Caenorhabditis elegans: one gene and its partners. The protein of the gene in region 3 purifies or fractionates together with the protein of the main gene of each other region. This does not show direct contact. Each region holds a gene or a part of one and is shown on either strand. Other genes may lie near its edges.

Evidence for each region. The genes of interacting proteins can lie anywhere in the genome.
Region 1: the proteins of attf-2 (region 3) and ctsa-1.1 fractionate together in Caenorhabditis elegans (co-fractionation; one large-scale study listed by BioGRID). This does not show direct contact.
Region 2: the proteins of attf-2 (region 3) and Y38E10A.22 purify together in Caenorhabditis elegans (affinity purification with mass spectrometry, with the first as the bait; one large-scale study listed by BioGRID). This does not show direct contact.

Annotation. Positions count from the first base shown.
Region 1 is NC_003280.10:4,735,349-4,740,520, forward strand, and holds ctsa-1.1 (Serine carboxypeptidase ctsa-1.1), read left to right. Parts: upstream 1-2,299; 5' UTR 2,300-2,301; coding exon 2,302-2,447; intron 2,448-2,714; coding exon 2,715-3,501; intron 3,502-3,835; coding exon 3,836-3,975; intron 3,976-4,027; coding exon 4,028-4,364; 3' UTR 4,365-4,454; downstream 4,455-5,172. Other genes in the region: F41C3.7 (WD_REPEATS_REGION domain-containing protein), read left to right, coding at 1-46, 95-255, 306-447, 492-592, 643-768, 814-886, 1,262-1,336; eas-1 (putative Golgi transport protein 1), read left to right, coding at 5,099-5,129.
Region 2 is NC_003280.10:12,671,586-12,679,950, reverse strand, and holds Y38E10A.22 (Armadillo-type protein), read left to right. Parts: upstream 1-2,147; 5' UTR 2,148-2,152; coding exon 2,153-2,278; intron 2,279-2,326; coding exon 2,327-2,569; coding exon of another isoform or gene 2,570-2,581; exon of another isoform or gene 2,582-2,748; intron 2,749-3,761; coding exon 3,762-4,095; intron 4,096-5,105; coding exon 5,106-5,256; intron 5,257-6,183; coding exon 6,184-6,616; 3' UTR 6,617-7,681; downstream 7,682-8,365. Other genes in the region: Y38E10A.33 (Nodule Cysteine-Rich (NCR) secreted peptide), read left to right, coding at 360-425, 474-536; Y38E10A.24 (Complex I-B12), read right to left, coding at 623-691, 778-915; rgs-4 (RGS domain-containing protein), read right to left, coding at 8,328-8,365.
Region 3 is NC_003283.11:7,192,789-7,198,003, forward strand, and holds attf-2 (AT hook Transcription Factor family), read right to left. Parts: upstream 3,350-5,215; 5' UTR 3,348-3,349; coding exon 3,266-3,347; intron 3,220-3,265; coding exon 3,131-3,219; intron 3,082-3,130; coding exon 2,947-3,081; intron 2,614-2,946; coding exon 2,020-2,613; intron 1,973-2,019; coding exon 1,790-1,972; intron 1,738-1,789; coding exon 1,573-1,737; 3' UTR 978-1,572; downstream 1-977. Other genes in the region: putative phospholipase D F09G2.8, read right to left, coding at 247-435; F09G2.2 (Protein CNPPD1), read left to right, coding at 4,128-4,230, 4,375-4,700, 4,753-4,875, 5,053-5,215.

The DNA of each region.
Region 1 (5,172 bases), on a different chromosome or scaffold from region 3:
TGCGCATCAAAAAGTTCGCCTATATTCGAGCCATAATTTTGTGATGGTGTGCAAGTATCTATACTTCTAAAGATTATCAGTACACATTTTCCAGCTCTACTCCTCATCGAAAATATTGATGATGGAAATTGATGATTTGGAGAAAATGATAACCTATGATGACGTGGCAGATGTCGTCTCATTACTTGTTTTAAATGGAAGTCCGTGTTATATGAATGGATCCGGAAAAGTTACTATTTTGGAGAATCAGGAAAAGTTGGTTTTTAATAGGGAAACAGAGATATATTGTAAAAATGTATATTCAGAATTTTCGAGTGCTCTCCACTACTGAATCCAATCTCTTCTAGCTTCGTAATTGAAAATCGAATTTATGTGCTATCGAACAAGTTTATCTCTAGCTTCACATCAGATTCTCCACTGGATTACGAGAACTATGAGACAGAAAAAGTCATTTTGGCAATTCTAGCGGAAATTAGCAATTATATTTTCAGACTATCACAACTGGAGATATTGGAAAATTTGGAGAAGATCGGCTCATGATTTTTGATAAGTTTTCTCAAACTTGTTTTGTCTGGGAAAAAGATAAACCAAAGTATGCAATTTAATTGAGCTTCAATTTTTAAAGAAACAGTTTTTTTTCAGAAATCCATCTCATCAACTTTGCTTTGGATCGTCTGAATATACAGTAGACGTGGCTTGCGACGAGGAGAATTTGTACTCCTTAACTTCTGCCGGCGTAGTTTCAGTTTGGAAATTGAAACCTAATGGGTATGCAGTTGCAGTCTTTGTTTACACGGTACTAAAATTTTTTAGAAGAAAATATCGAGATCAACTATTCACAACATACCTGAACCATTGCACAAAACTACTTTTAACATATTCTCAGGTATGAAACAAAGAAAATAATAAGCATATAACATGATTTCTGGGTATACAAAACACACGTTAAATGGAAGATCAGATTTTGAATATAAAAATTGGTTTTTAAAATCTGCCAAACACGGTCCCAGATTCTAAAAACATTTATCTTTCATTTAACGTTTGTTTTGTCTTACAAAAAATTGGCCAATTAATCTCTTTCTATATCAATTGAACAAATAAGGGAAATTCAATCCATGACGAGAGTCACTCAGAAAACAGCCTGTGCCTTTGAACTGACGCCCCAATTTTTTTAAAACGAAATCAGGATCCACAACTCTAAACGTTTTTTTTCATGGTTTCTGGCCACCTGGCGATCACCTAAAATGTTTTCTTTTTTCAGAAGTTTGTGATTCTCACCAACTCGGAAGTTCACTTTGTGGTGTTTGGCATTGACTCGACCAGTGGCCAACAGTGATCGGTGCCAGCCTCTACCGATCCTCATTCAATTGACCCCAATCCATCACTCGCCTGCTTAAAAACCCGCCGTTGCTCACAAATATTTTCTCTTATCTTCATTTCTTTGCAAAAATGATTGTCTCGTTTTCTTCTCCACAATCTTTTTGATATAAATTGATTTATTGAATGTTGATCGCGTTGCGTGTTGTAATATTGGCTCCTTCAGCATGGCGTGAGAGAAATAAAGAATTTAAATCAGAAAAGATAAAAAAGTTTCTGGAAGAAATGTTCTATTGAACAGGTAAAAATGAGACAACCAAAATTGACTGCGCCGCAAAATTTTTTGAAAGAGTTTCGTTAATAAAAAATCGGAAAATCTGGAAATATTTCGTTTCTTGTTCTGACTTTGGCAAGTTGGCAAAAATAGAAATTTCAGAGGCCAGAGCAATAACGTTTTTTGAGAATTTTTCATAAGGTCTCATTACGACATTCGATAGTTTTGAGCCATTTCAAGTCTAAAAATGTGTCAGATTTCCGTACTCCACCTGTTGCCTACCTGCCTTAAAGCGGACTCTAACTAACTAGTACCTGCTTCCAATAGGAAAGCTAAGAAAGACCTTTAAACTTGCCCACATTTAGTACTCTACGACTACAAAAAATAGACAATTTAAATTTCCTGAAGCTGGTTCTCCCCTGCCTCACAGAAATTTATAGAGTACACGATGGCACTAGTCGTTTGATCTCTATCTTATCAAAATCAAATCTTTTTTTTTTCAAATTCAAATCTTGTGCACAACCATCTCCCCAATCTTCACAGATCCACATTGTCCTCAAATTGTCCTTTGCCTTCTTCTGGCTCCGCCCCTATGGGACAGTCGAGACTCCGCCTCCTTCTCTCCAATGTCTCAGACAAACATCACAAGATATCTGTTTTTCTTTCTTGTCATGTTCCATGCTCAACCTCTAATTCATTGAATTTCAGGTATGAAAACCCTTCTGCTTCTCGCCTTCTTCGTCGGGGTGACCTGTGGAGAAGAGATCAAGGATTTGCCAGGATTGGACTTTGAGCCGAATTTCAAGCATTATTCCGGATTCTTCCAAGTTTCGGATAACCATGTGCTTCATTATTGGTGAGTATGAAGGACAGAAGTTAGCCTAAAAAGTGCAAACTAGCATGAAAGTAAAAAAAGTCTTGTACCTTTTCAATTTTTCGTCGATCGAAAGGTTGTTTGAAACAGTGTTCAAGGTGTGAAATAGGTTCAGAAGCTTACACAACGAAAATCTTACACAACAAATCTTACACGAAAATCTTACAACTTACACAACGAAAATCTTTTGAATGCGAGCTTGCCTTCATACCGGCTTGTCTAATAAATCATCCTAAATCATTATTCCAGGTTCGTCGAATCCCAAAACGAGCCATCCAACGACCCACTGATCTTCTGGTTCAACGGAGGACCAGGATGCTCTTCCTTGGACGGACTTCTCAATGAAATGGGACCATATGTTGCCAATGAAGATGGAAAGACTCTTCGTGAAAACGAGTACTCATGGAACAAAATGGCTTCAGTTGTCTATATTGAGTCTCCAGCTGGAGTTGGTTACTCGTATGCCACTGATGGAAACATCACAACCAACGATGATTTGACTTCTCTTGAGAACTACGAAGCTGTCAAACAATTCTTCACTGAATTCCCACAATTCCGTCATCATCAGACATTCATTATGGGAGAGTCTTATGGAGGAGTTTATGTTCCAACTCTTACCGCAAGAATTGTTGATGGACAAAAGGACTTCCCAATTAACTTGAAAGGAATGGCACTTGGAAATGGATATGTTAATGAGAAGCTTAACATTGATACCTCTGTCAGATTTGCTTATGGACACGGACTTATTGATGAGAAGATCTGGAATACTCTTGAGAGAGATTGCTGCAGAGGATGCATTGATTCATGTGATTTGACTCAAGTCACCGGACACTGTGCAACTCTCGTTGAGGACATCTTCCAATTCTTGTGGTTCGGAGGATTGAATCCATATGATTTGTACAGAGATTGTGATCCAAATCCATCAGTGAACAGCAAGAGAATGAAGCACATGTTGAGAGGAGTTGCTCCAGCAATGGCCCATTTTGATGAGCTCTTGAAAAATCAAACAAAGACTTCCCTTTATCAATTTTTGAAAGTATGTGGGGTAGCAGCAATGGGAAAATGTAAAAATATCATTGGAAAACTTTTCAGAAAATTTTTCAGTACTCAGTTTTCACCTAGTGTCACGGTAGGTGTCACGGTCATGAGATCATTATCAGCAGTTTTTTTTTTTGAAAACTTTGAAAATTGTTTTGTGAACGAAACCCTGCAAGGATTATATTCAAACAATTTTTTTGCCATCCAAGTAAAAAAAATTAAAATAGGAAAAAGGTTATAGAATTTTTTTTGGTCAAATTGCATATTTAAAACTTTTTTAATTTGATCAATAATTACCACCATAGCAGTCACTTCATATTTGTATCTTTCAGAACAAATCTCAATCCCAAAAGCCACTTAAGGCTGATGTTCCATGCCTCAACGATACTGAGATGCTCTCCTATATGAACAATCCAAAGGTTCGTAAGGCAATCCACATTCCATTCAATCTTGGAAAATGGGATATCTGCAGGTGAGCCTGAGCCAAAGAGCCCAAGCCCAGAGATCAAAACAAAAATTTTCAGTGACAAGGTGACTACTACCTACCAGAAGCAGTACACCGATATGACTCCATTCATCAAGAAGATCGTCAAGAACCACGTCAGAGTTCTTTTGTACTATGGAGATACTGATATGGCCTGCAACTTTATGATGGGACAGCAATTCTCTGATCAACTTGGACTTCGTAGAACACTTAAAAAGACTCCATGGAAGTATGATAGACAAATCGCCGGATTCAAGACACTTTTCGATGGGCTCAGTTTCATCACTATTCGCGGAGCTGGACATATGGCTCCACAATGGAGAGCTCCACAAATGTACTACGCCGTTCAACAGTTCCTGAATAATCATCCACTTTAAATTTGGAGAACAAATAATATTTTTATCTTCTTATTTATTTTTCAATCTATTGGTCAATTTTCCAAGTTTTGAATAATGAAATTTGATTTTTAAATTTTGTGATTTTCGAATACACTGAAATATTTTTCAGAAAGCTTCCAAATAACTGTAATCGGTTTACTCATATGACGTTTGGATTAAAATTTCAAGTAATTTCGATTAATAAAACTGATGTTCTACTTATTAATACGTTGTACCTTTGGAAATAGTCAATAAATAATTGGAAAGTCTTGTTTGTTCGAAAAAATATCGATTTGAAATCTCAAAAATGCCTTTTGTGGCACTTCCAACCAACATAGTTACTTTTTGTCCAATTTCTCAATAAAAATCGTATTAATTGAGCGAAAATACTACGAATTCAAAAGTTTACCATTCAAATTTAAATTTTCCTTTTTCCCGCCGATTTTCGCTACTTCGGCCATGTGCGAGTTTCTAGGCCACGCGGAAATGCACGGCGGCCACGTGGTCCGCAATTTTACGTACACGTCATTTCCGCGGAATTTCCAGTTTTATTTTCCGATTTTTCGCTTAAATTTTTCAATTCGAGATAAAATCAGTTTCATTTGCTAAAAAGAAACGCAAATTTATTTCAAAAAATCAATAATCTTCTTCTATTTGTTTTTCTATGACCGATTCTTTTGAGAATTTAATTTTTTTCAGCCGTTTAAAAGAGAAACCACTTGGGTCCAGTCAAAATGATGAATTTCGAAGTAAGCACAACAAAACGTAAGTTTGAAAATCAGAAAATATATGTAAACTGTGAAACATT
Region 2 (8,365 bases), on a different chromosome or scaffold from region 3:
GTAAATCAAAAATTATTAATTCGATTGAAAAACTGTGAAAACTTTACAGAAAAATGATTAAAAATTAAATAAATTCGGGCGTTGAGAGCTGTGGATTTACGGTAAAGAAGGCGCGCTGGCGGGATTCCGGAGCATCGTTGTTGGCGGACATTTAAATCATAGTTTAATATTTTTTTTACTAAATTTTGATTTTCTATATTATTTCTAGAGAATTTCTCGATTTTCAAAGAATTTCTTTTTGAAAACAAACATTCCCTTGAATATAACGTGAAAAATTGCTTTAAACATTCATTTCCTGCTAGAAAAACACTCGGGAAATAAATTTCTCCGCTGTTTTATCTATTTTTGCAATTTTCCTCATGATAACGCCTACAATTTCATTCGGTTTTTGCTGGGAATCTCTATGCAATATTCTTTTCTACTCGGTGAGTGCTTTCATCCGATTTTAGCAAGTTTCGATCTAAAATTTTCAGTTTTGCCCCACTCAACGTGTCATTTGCTCGGAGAAAAGCATTTGTGAATGTGCTGAAGCATAATAAAATGTTTAAAATTTTTCTTTATGACTAAAAATCGAGAAAAAACACAGGAAATCGCTAAATTAAGCATCTAGTCGGCGGGATTTTCAGTATTTCCAGGCGTCGGTGTGTGCTGGAAGCTGCTTGAGTCGATCCGCGTACATTTTTGAGTGACCCTGAAACAAAAATCAATTGGTTTTATGGATTTTTAGGTTAAAATATGCTAAAAATTGAATTTTCAGCACGATTTCAGCACGCTTACCTTCATCATCTCGGCCTTATTGTATCCGGCGCTCTCCCAGCAGCGGGCGAAATAGGCGACGGCCAACGTGGCAGTCCAAAGGCCTCTTTTGTCCCAAAAAGCGTTCTTGAGGAAATATGTGGCGGTGAAGGTACCCATTCTGCAAAAAAACTGGCATTTTTTAAAAGAAAACTCGGAGAAATACAGAAAATCAAGAGAAATTAAGGGAAAATCAGCAATTTTAGGGATTTTTTATTGAAAAATCATTATTTTCCTATAGAAACTAAATTTCAGATGAAAAAATGAAGAACTGACTCTAAAAATCTTAAAATCCACGTAATTTTCATTTAATTCATTTTCAATAACTTTCACTTTAACGCCTATTAAACGTGAATTATAGGTGAAAAATAACGTATTTTATCAATATTTCAATAAAGAAAAATAAGAAAAAATCAATAAAATCCCGAAAAATCGATTAAAAACCGGCAGAAAATAAATTCGACGACAAATAAAATGTGAGACAACGACGCTCCGATATTTCGGTGGCGCGTGTTGTTTAGCAGTTTGTGAAAAGGGTGGTTTTTCAAATAGGGGTTTTGTGGAAATAGTTTTTGTTAGGTTTTCCAAGCGAAAAATAATGGTTTAATCATTGGAAAATTGAATGAATCGACTGTGAACAACTCCTCAACAAATTTCAATAGATAAGCTCTTGCAAAGTTTTAAAAAGTAAAACCAGCGTCCACTTCAAGCGGTCAAAACCAAAATCAAAACCTTCAAATTTTTACTATATAAATCCAAAAAAGATTACTTGGAGGTATGGGGAATCGAACCCCAGACTTCTCGCATGCAAAGCGAGCGCTCTACCCCTGAGCTATACCCCCATATTCTGCTTGATTGCAATAGGAAAAGAGGAGTCTACGGGTGTAACGAAAGCGAGTAAATCTTGAATTGATGCGTTTTCCTGTTAGATTATCATTGAACCACTCCTTCAGGGTTGAATTTGTCTTTCTGCATTCAGGTTTACCTCGAATTCTTGAATTTCGGCCTGTTTTTCTCTTTTAAAATCAATCATAATTAAATCAAATTGTCAGGGACTAACTTCCCAACTGCAACAACCACGCTCCATTGATAACAATTCTAGGCCATCACTCATTTTTTGAATTAATTTCCCGATTTTTCTCGAATGTTTTCAGCATGTTTTTGCGGAATCTTTCTGGAATTCTTGAAAAATTCTTTTGAAATCGTTAAATATGAAAAATTAGGTTCATTTTAACATAAAAACCGTAATTTTCTGTCGATTTTTCAGCGGGAAAATCGAAAATCTCGCTTTTTAAAAAGCTTTTTATCACGTTTTTCTTCAAAATAATCCCAAAAATGTCGTTTTTTTTCAGTAAAAATGGCTGCATCTGCTGAAGATATCGCGTGGAAGAAGCTTCTCGACATGGCAACCGCCCACAGTTCAAAAAATACGGAAAAATCGGCAGAAGCCTCGGAAGATACCGCTCCAGTGTACTCTCGTGAGGTGATAATTGATTTTTAAATTTAAATTTTTAGTTTTAATTATTTCCAGAATCTCGAATTTCTCCAAAAAGCGATGACTCACTCATTCGGTGGAGATATGGAGCAGGGACCGTCCGTCATTCAAAAATTCTTCCATTTCGGCGATGAGAACCCGGAGAAGGTCGTTATGACCCCGGCGTTGTTGGCTGCGGCGAAGGAATTGGCCGATCAGCTTGATGATTACCTTATAATGGGCAACTTCTCGGAGCATTTCATTGCTGAGGGCGGCCTCAAGGCTCTCGCCAATCTCACTGTGCGTATTTAAGCAAAAAAAAGTGAAAAATTGCTTTAAAACATGCCTATGGAGTCACAATGACCGAATATCATGAGAAAAAATAAAAAAAATGTTTCTAGATTTTATATGATTAAAATCTCAATTTTCCCCTTATTCCTATTTGAATTACCACCAATTGGATTCGTTCGTTGGAGCGCGCTTGCACGTTTTTAAATTTATTTATTTATTTTATTTATTTCTCATATCAGTGTATTTTTGCTTGAAATTTGAAGAAAAAACCAAGATAAATTCAAATTTTCGATTAAAAAGCACGCTGACAGGCGTAAATCTGTGAAATGAATTAATTCAGGTTTGAAATCGTTTAAAATCGTTACTTTGTAATTTTTACGCCTGTAAGCGTGCTTTTTAATCGAAAATTTGCATTTATTTTGACTTTTTCTCTAAAATTCGAGCAAAAATACACCGAAAGCATTAAAAATCGGTGGAAATAACAAAAAATTAAAATAAATAAATTTAAAAACGTGCAAGCGCGCTCCATCGAACGAATCAAATTGGCGGAAATTCAAATAGGAATTAGGGGAAAACTGAGAGTTTTTCAATTTTCAAAAAATCATATAAAATCTAGAAAATTTTTTTGATTTTTTTAACCATGATATTCGGTCATTGTGGTACCATATGCGTGTTTTAAATCAATTTCTGTGCTGACGCTTTTCCCACTTCGTGGGAAAATTGCTTTAAAACATGCCTATGGGGTCACAATGACCTAATATCACAGTAAAAAATTAAAAAAAATAAACAAGAAAAATGTTAATTCAAGTTGTTCATTAAAAAATAACTGAAAATTCCTATTTTTTTTCCTAAGGCGCGTGGTCGTTGGCATTTTCAGTGATTTTTTAATGAACAATTTGCATTTTTCTTGTTAATTTCTTTCTCTTTCCGATTAAAAAACCCCAAAAAATGACAATAAATAAAATAAATTAATTAAAATAATGCAAGCGCGCTCCATCGAACAAATTCAATTGGCGGAAATTCAAATAGGGAATTAGGTGGAAAACTGAGATTTTTTCAATTTTCAAAAAATCATATAAAATCTAGAAAATTTTTTTGAATTTTTTACTATGATATTTGGTCATCGTGACCCCATAGGCATGTTTTAAAGCAATTTCCCCACAAAGTGTAGTTTGAATAAAAATTTAAATTTTTTTTCCAGATGTCACCAGACGAAGATCTGCGTCTCCTCTACCTCCGTCTCATCCCACAACTCGCCGAAAACCGCCCGGAATTCCAACAGGCAATCGCCGATTCTCCACTTTTCACAGCATACATGAAGCTGCTCAAACGTCAAGCCGAACTGAGCCCCCGAATTCTTTCAGCACTGCTCTCGGCGATTTCCTCCATCGTTCGGTCTCACTTGCCGGCTTATTTGAAGTTTCAGGCCAAGAATGGGCTCACGGCCACTGAGAAGCTTATTCAGAGCACGAAAGACCATAAAAATGCTGTAAAGGCTGGCCGTATGATCGTCAGTTTCCTGTATACACTTACTGGTACGGAAATTGCGGAAATTTTCAATCAAAATGGAAAAAAAAAGAAAAAATCCCTTTTTTCTTAATTTTCAAGAAAATTTGGTTTTTTAAAATCAAAATCTTTGTGAAAAATACAATTTTCCAGTCGGGAAATTGCTTTAAAACATGCCTATGGGGTCACAATGATCGAATATCATGATTAAAAAATTCCAAAATTCAAAAATTTTTCTGAATTTTATATGATTTTTTTTTTTGAAAATTAAAAAAATCTCAGTTTTTCACCTAATTCCTATTTGGATTTCCGCCAATTGGATTCGTTCGTTGGAGCGCGCTTGCATTATTTTTATTTATTTATTTTATTTATTCTCATTATTTCACTGATTTTCTTCATTTTTTTTTGTGTTTTTAATGGAAATTGAATCTTTAAAAACAAGATGAATGCAGAATATTTGTTAAAAAGTCACTGAAAATTCCTAAAACTTGAAAATAGTATATTTTACAGTTTTACGCATTTTCAATGAATTTTTAACAAAAATTCTGCGTTTATCTTGTTTTTAAAAATTCAGTTTCCGATAAAAACACAACAAAAAAATTGAAGAAAATCAGTGAAATAATGAGAATAAATAAAATAAATTAATGAAAATAATGCAAGCGCGCTCCATCGAACAAATCCAATTGGCGGAAATTCAAATAGAAATTGGGGAAAACTGTGATTTTTTCAATTTTCAAAAAATCATATAAAATCTAGAAAATTTTTTTGAATTTTTGGAATTTTTTAAATCATGATATTCGGTCATTGTGACCCCATAGGCATGTTTTAAAGCAATTTCCCGACTGGAAAATTGTATTTTTCACAAAGATTTTGATTTTCTTTTCTTTTTTTCCAAATTTTCTTTATTTTTCAAGAAAATTTGGGTTTTGAAAATCAAAATCTTTGTGAAAATTTCAATTTTTCAGCCTTAAAATTGCCAAAAAAAAAAATCCCAAATCACGATTTTCAGTCAAAAAAAACCCCCCGGTTTTTTTTGCAGATCTCCAGGGAATCGATGAAATTACTGAAGAAATTAAGAATAGTATTCTTAAAATCTATACTCTCCTGGATGGACGTTCAAGATTTGTGGATCGGGCCGATGATAGTGAAGAAACGAAGGAGTTCTATGAGGAAACTATGAAAATGATCAAGTATGGAGGTTTTTTTTCGATGGAAAATTGAGAAAAAAATGGGCTTTTTTTACCTTAAAACTGCTGAATTTTGGATATTTGGCTGGAATTGTGCGGAAATTTGCAATTTTTGTTCAATTTCCCCCTGAAAATTGTCCGAGAAAAACTGAAAAATCCAAAAAAAATTTTCTAAAATTTTACTAAAAAACTTAATTTTTCTGATATTAAAAATAATTAATTTTTTTATAAATTCTCCAAAAAATCGTGTTTTCTTCTAATTTTCTACAGAAATCTTTATTTTTCTGAATTTCTTTAAAAAATCTCACCTCTTTCGGAAATTTTACAAAAAGTGATGATTTTTCCAAAAATCAAATTATTTTTGTTGAGTTTTCTGCAAATTTTCAAAAAAAAAAAATTTGAAATTCTACAAAAAATTATGTTTTTTTTCTGAAAAATGGAAAAAAATTGAAATTTTTCCAAAATTCTTTGAAAAATCTAGATTTTTATGAAATTTTTCAAAATTTTTTTTTGTTTTTCTGATAGTAGGCATAATTTTTTATAAAAAATAAATTCGGCAAAAAATGTTTTTTTCTAATTTTTTAATAATCTTAATTTTTTCTGAAATTCTTTCTTCTCGATTTTTAAGAAATTCTTGTATAAAAACCATATTTTTCTGAAATCCCAAAAAAATTTTTTTTTCCGAAATCCTATAAAAAAATCTGAAGTTTTGTAGAAATAAATTTTAAAAATTCTCATTTTTCTGAAATTTTTCAAAAAATCGTTTAAAAAATTGGGCGGAACCTCTAAAAATCACGCCCATAAAATGGACGATACAAATTCGGATTTTTCTAAAAATTTTTTTTTAAAAATCGATTTTTTACCTAAAAATTCAAAAATATGCTCGAAAATCGATTTTCCCGCCAAAAATTCAAAAAATGTTTTTTCCAGATTCGAAATCATGCAAATGCACCCGGACATTATTACACCACAAACGAGAAAACTGCTCGAGGAGCACTTCAAAGAATCCAATCTTCGAGCAGGCCTGATGCCAATTGGTGGATGGCCGGTTATTCCAAAAAACGAGTGGCCACAGCCACCACAGCCACCCTGTCATAAAGCCAATAAGAATGCGGAGCCAAAAAAGGAGCCGGAGCCAGCGAAGAAGGTTGCTCCAAAGCAGGAGACAAAAGTAGATCAAGAAGCGGCAGAATTGGCGCGAAAAATTCAAATCGAGGAGGATAAAACTCGAAAACGCCACGAGATCGTCGCCAGATTCTCCATTTTGGACATTTACACGAAGGAAGAGCTCGCCGAGAAGCTCAAGTTGGACGCCGAGATGGAGATGGCTGAAGCTCAGAAGGTTCTGAAGGAGATTCGCTGAAAAGAAGAACATTTGTCTTTTTTTTTGTAATTTTTTCAAAGAATTTAAGAAAATTGAGCTTTTTTAAAAAATCTCAGAAAATTAGATTTTTTTTTTGGAAAATTTTAGAATTTTTGTAGAAAATTGTTTAAAAAACTATTTTTTTTGTTGTAAAATTCGCAGAAAAATCAAAAAAAATGCAGAATTTCAGAAAAAAATTTTTTTTCAGAAAAATCAGGTTTTTTTTGTAAAATTCTTAAAATTAAGGCTTTTCTAAAAATTTCAGAAAAAAATTTTTTTGTTTGAAAAATTTTAGAAAAATCTAGATTTTTATGAATTCTTCAAGCAAAAAATTATTTTTTTTTCTGAAATTTTCAGAAAAGCCTTAATTTTTAGAATTCTACAAAAAATCCTGATTTTTCTGATTGAAAAAAAAACATTTCTAATTTTTTTTCTGATATTCTTTTAAAAAATCTCAATCTTTCTGAAATTCTTTTGTTTTCCCCTAATTTCCATATTGCCACATGTCATTTGATCCCGGATAATTGTGAATACCGCCCGTCAAATCTATTTATTTACGCCCAAAAATTACATTTTGGCGCCCAATTTCAAAACTTTTTTCCAGGTTAAACTATCGGAGAGAACCATTTTCAACTGTAACCCAAAAAAAATTTCCTGAAAAATTAAGTGCGACGGAGCGCTTTTGACCTATGCAAGCACGTGGTGTCAGGAACTTAGGGTGCCCCATTTCGGCTTTATCTACTCTGATCTACAAAAAATGCGGGAAAAGAGACGCAGAGTTTGCTGACGTCACATTTTTTTGGCGAAAAAATTCCCGCATTTTTTGTAGATCAAACCGTAATGGGACAGTCTAGCAGCACGTGTGCACAAGTGCAATCGCGCTCTATTGAACAATAGCATCAGCGGCGATGGAAAAATCAATAAATCAAATTTTTCATTTTTTGGAATTTTTGGTCAAATTAATTCAATATAGGGGAATAATGGGCGATTGGGTCCACGTGGCATCACTAGATTTACTACGTTTGTTTGTTTTTTCAAAATAAAATTAGGGGAAATATCGGAAATATCGATTTTTAGGGCTTAAAAAGTGGGGAAACGTGGAAAATCAGGGTGTGGCTAACCCGTCTTTCAGGGTTTAAAACAGTCTTGTTTTTTAAAGGGAAATAGTGCCAGGCTGTCCCATAACGGTTTGATCTACAAAAAATGCGGGAATTTTTTGCCCAGTTGAGAACTCTGCGTCTCTTCTCCCGCATTTTTTGTAGTGATCTACGTAGATCAAACCGAAATGAGACACTCTGACACCACGTGAGATGGGCGATTCGTAGAAACTTTGGGACCGGGCAAGCGCGCTCTATTGAGAAATTTGAAAAAAAAAACACCAATTTTCTGTGAAAAACGTCGATTTTCAATGATTTTATGTGAAAATTCAACTTTTTAACCTAAGTTTTCACTGAAATTTGCCAGAAAAATTGAATTTTCAGTGATTTCAGCGTGAAATTCTCAATGGAGCGCGTTTGAGCAGCCGGGTTTCGACGATTCGCTCGAATTCGGGGACGGGGACGGAGATCGATGCGGTGATTTGGAAGAGAGCGATTTTCGCAGAAATCTGGAATAAAATGAGCGATGACGAGATGGAGAGAGTGTGCGCGGTGAGGAGGGCTGAGACGACGAGAGAAACGAGCCGCCGCCGCCGGTGCCGCTTGCCACGTCATCAGTTGGTTGCGGCCGCCTGTGCTGTCGGGCCGCCCG
Region 3 (5,215 bases):
AGTAAAACTTCAAAATTGATCTGAAAATCTACAATTTAACATTCAATTAATATATATTTCTTGGTGAAGAATGTTTTAAAATTTGGTGACTCGCTCGCTAGAGCGGGAATTCAAAAAAATAATTCAGCCTTTTTTTTTGCAATTTAAAAAAAAAATCACAAATATATTTTACGAATTTTTATACTTATTCAGGAAAAAATCGAAGTTTAAAATAATTTTTTCCTTTCCTATTTCGGAAAAACTTACATGACGCATAGGTCGATCGTTAATTAAAATAGTTGTCATTGGAATTTCTGAAGAATTTTGAAACAAGGAATATTGAAAATGGTCAAGCAGGAGCTCTCTTCGATTGAGCACAATACTCTCTAATCTAGCTACTGATGGGCTCTGTCGACATCTCCGTTGTTGCCGGAAATTGATCAATCTCAGAGGCATCGGTTAGTGGCTTTGGGCAACAGAGAAGAAGTTTTTTGAGAAGGTTTCGATGTTTTAAAAGTTGTTCGCTTTTTTCGCACACTTTTTTTTATCGAAAAAGCGAAAAAGAATTGTTTTGTCCAAAAGTACAAAAAAAACTGAAAAATCTACAGCCCTGCCACAAAGTGTTTAGATAGCAAAGAGATATGAGAGTGTGAGCCCTCTCTGAATAATTATTTTGTTTTGGGAGTGAGAGCACTGAGCAGACGAGACTTGCTCTCGCTGCTTACAGCTGGAAATCACGAGAGCCCTGCCGCCTATCCCCGCCGAAAGCAGAGCAAAGCTTTTTGAACTATAATTTCTGAAACTCTCGAAACAAACCTCCATTCTCGTGTTTTTCCTTTCACCGTTTTCTTCCTTTTCGTGTGGCGTCAAATATGTTCTGCCACTCACCATTGACCTGAATCCTTCAATTTTTGTTCGAATTATTCATAAACTTTACCGAAATATACTACTTTTTGGAATTGTTCTACAAAAAAAGATTCAGAAACAAATATAGACTTGCCAGGTAAAACAATTTATTTCAAGATGTCAATTTAAATGTTTTTCAAACATGTAAAAGAGAGCCAGAGAATAAAATAGGAGTTGTTGGATGAAAAATCTCGTCAGTCGAGTTTCAATTAGAAAAAAAGCTTACGAAGATCAATTGCGATTCAAGTACTCTTAAATATTTACTCAGCCAGGGGTGAGCATTGAGAGAGTGGGAGAAAAGCATGATTCTACGTTGAAAAAAGCTCATTTCTAAAAGTCGACGTAGAGAAGTTTTGAATTTTTTAGAAAACAATTCAGGAGGTAATAAGATAAATAAATTGTCAACAGTGGGGATGGTTATATTTTAATACAAACAGTTTGGTTGTAACTCAAATACTTAAAAAAAATATATAATGATGTGGGAAGAGAGGATGAAAAAAAATTGAGATGGGAAGAAGTTGAGATTGATTTAGAAAAGACCTCATTCACAGAACGTAGAAAAATAGCAATTTTTGGAAAAATGAAAATGCAACCATAGGAGTCTACCATCCTACTTTTGAAAATTGGCAATAAGAAGTGGAGAATGAGATATAGAAACACCAGTACATAACAAACTTCCTAAGCCATTTAGGCTTCAACTTCCTCCGATGCGTCCATTTCTTCTCCCTCATCATCTTCGTCGTCGGCAGCAGCTCTAGCAGGTGCTCCTCTGGCCTTCTTTCTTGGAGAAACATCTTCGTCGCTTTTGTCATCGTATTCGATTTCATCCTCATTCGACTCATCGGAAGCATCCTGAAAAAGAAGATAATTTTGAGAATATTATTATATTCAAACGATCGATTACCTTTGCAGATCTCTTTGTGGCGGCAGCACGAGTTGGTCTGTTGCTGCTTGGTGGACGTCCTCTTCCGCGAGTAGAAGGAGCACCTTTCTTCTTCTTTCCGAAGTCAACGTCATCTTCATCCGATGGTGCGCCGTCAGAATCCGAGACGTACTTTGTGATCTTGCCCCGTGGGGGCTTGCGTCCCTGGAAAAATGAATATTTATATAGACCATAAGCACAAAGAAACTCACTCTGAAAAGTTTTCCAGGAATTTCATCGTCGACTTCGGCGAGAACAGTGCTTGTGTCAGAGTTTGCGTAATCGATTCGGTTCGATGTTGAACGACGTGGTCTGCTGGCTGCGATTGACTCTGGGTTAACCGCCGCCTTCGGCTTTGCAGCCCTCTTTTTCTCAGAAGCCGCAGCCTTTGGAGTCGCATTTGGTCCTGGTGGTCTTCCGCGTCCTCTTCCACGTCCACGCCCAGAAGGTGTAGCAACTGGAGCTACAGTAGTCTCGGCAACTTTCTCTTCAGCAGCTTCTGATTCCTCGTCTGCGGCAGGAGCTTCAGCGGCATCCTTCTTTTCTTCGGTATTAACAACTGGCTCATCTTTCTTTTCTTCGGAAGAAGCTGGAGCTTCTTCTTTTTTGTCTTCGACGACTGGTGTCTCTGGAACTTCCTTTTTCTCTTCAACTACTGCAGCAGGTTCTTTCTTCTCTTCAGCTGCGACCACCTCTTCCGATTTTTTTTCTTCCGGTGCTGGTGCCTCTTCTGATTTCTTCTCTTCGGTGACTACAGGCTCAGGCGCATCCTCTTTCTTCTCTTCTACAACTGGTTCCTCTTTAGCCTGAAAAATCTTAATTTAACTTGGCTTGGCAAACATCAACTCTCTAGAAAAGTAAACAACTAACAGCTCTCATTCTTTCCAATTTATAATGCATATAATGTGGAAAAACCTTTTCTTACTTTCTTTCTTCGAAATTTAATATATTTTTGAGCTTTTCGCTTCCATCGCCTCATTGTTGCTATGGATACAACATTGCTCGCGCGCAGCAAGTCGTAAAATACGTTTAATTAAAAAGTTATACTCTGTCGTTTCTTGAACTAACTGATAAATACATATTTAGAAATGACGTAAACAAATTTCATACTTGATATTTAAATTTCAAAAAAAACTAACCGCCTCGACGGCAACTTCTGCAGGTTCAGCTGGAGCATCATCTGTTTTCTCATCCTTCTGACTTTCGGTGACTTGAGCAGCAGGGGTCTCTGATGTAGTGGCTGGCTCTTCCGACACTTTAGCTTCAACGACTGGCTGAAAAGTAAAGAATTATAAAAACTGCATCTGATCCTCATAACCGAACCTCTTCTGTTTTCTTCTCAATGTTCGTGTCGCCATTTTCGTGGGTAGAACTACCGTTGATTTCGACTGCTGCGCTTTCATCTTTCTTTGCTGAAAATTAAGTTTAGTTTCAAAAAATGGCATTGTTTTAGTTTACCTTCAAGGGAATCAGCAATAACCTTTTCAGCTTTGGTTTCCTGGTTTGAAACCTCGGGTATGGTTGCAGTTTCGGCCGACATGACTGAAAAATGATGATGTGAGCAAAAAAGCATAACACGAAAAGAGATAATAATCGTTAAAATAAGGAAAAATGTAGGTACGATTCGAAAAGAAAACTGTGGATAATATTTGCATGCAATTTCAAAGCGATCATACTGTATGTACTCAACAAACCTTAATAATTTGATGCTGAATAATTGATTTTCTACGACAATATTAGTGATTTAGAGCTAAGGTAAAGAAATAACTACCATCTTTGTTTGAAAAACCTATCTCTACTGAATAAAACTTAATTTCAAAGCTGTGAAATACAAATTTAGGAATTTAGGAAAATTTAGGACCATTCGTCAACCTAAATGCTTAAAATTTACATATTTTTTAATGAATATTTTAGAAAAAAACGAGTATTGTTCTAAAAAATAAACATTCATTTATTTGGCGCACTAATTTAGTCGAATCAAGAGTGTCAAAATTCGAAATTTATTTTGGCGGGAGGTTTTGCAATGGTGACCGCGACGCAGGGTAAACGCGTCGCGTGTCTGCGTAGCGACTCTGCTCATCATTGTGTGCGATACTCAGCCATTGATGCCGTTGCCGATTTATGGTCTCTTCTCTGCCGCAACTCTTCCCTGTTTCCCCCCTCCAATCGCTGTTTTTTCGATCAAAAAGTGATCGACTCGAACACAAATTTTATACAATTCACGTGACAACTCTCTTCCTCGATTACAGATTTTTTTTTCGTGTTTTTACATTCTCACCGATCTTACTTTTATCTTCATTTCTATTTGAACAACTTTCAGATGGCTCCGCTATTTCCCGATTTCCGCAAGATGCGAAAAAGGATGAAGCGTTCGCTCAACTACGGAACAAAACAGCCGGCGTCACTGAATTATCCACTATCTCGTAAGTTAAAAAAAAAATGTCAAAATAAAAAAGTTTATTCATTGAAATATAAATTTTTCTCAAAATGTTTCAGCTTTTGAACATTATTTAATCAAATAAAACAATGCTGCGGTACGAAAATAACCATAGTTTAAAATTTTACAGAACTTGTGGTAGACTATTTCGACAAAACATCCACCTTCGATTACATGGAACCTAACACATCGGCAATGATTTCAAAATGTGGCTACGCTGACCCGTGCACACTCGTAGTCGCCCTTGTCTATTTGGATCGTCTACGAGTTCAGAAAAAGGCTTTTTTCGAATCTACTGACCCGGTTTCCCTGTATGTACCTGCTCTCGTTCTCGCCTCGAAGTATATGCACGATGCTGATACCTACGACCGCGTTTCTAACTCAGAATGGGCTGAATCACTGAAAATGACACCGGAAGATCTGAATGCGAAGGAATGGAATTTAGTAAAAAATCTCGTATGTTTTTTTTTTCATCCGCAAGTTTTCATCAATGAAAATTTTTTTTCAGGATTGGAACGTAGCTGTGAAGAACGACGAATTTGAAAATTATCTAGACAATATGGAGAAATGGGTGGCTGGATCATTTGTAGAGAAGAACGGGTTTATGACATACAATGAGCTTTTGCAATTGGTGAGATATCTTTATTTTATAAATCACTGAAAAATTGAAATAATGTAGGAAAAAATACTCACATTCTGGTTTTTCTACATAAAATATAAAAAAATTTTGATTGACAAATTTGATTTTTTTTTCAATTTTTTTTTTCGGAAAACCTAATCTTTAATATCGTTATTTCATTATTTTCAGTCGTCAATGGTTCCTATTATGGACATCGTCAAGCAATTGATTGAATTCATCAGCTCCACATCTCTTATCTACTGCTTGACTCTCGCGTTGATGTCGACTACCTTGTCCACTGTTTCCGAGCCATCGACCTCAGCTGACGTCACTTCACCAAAAGACAACAATC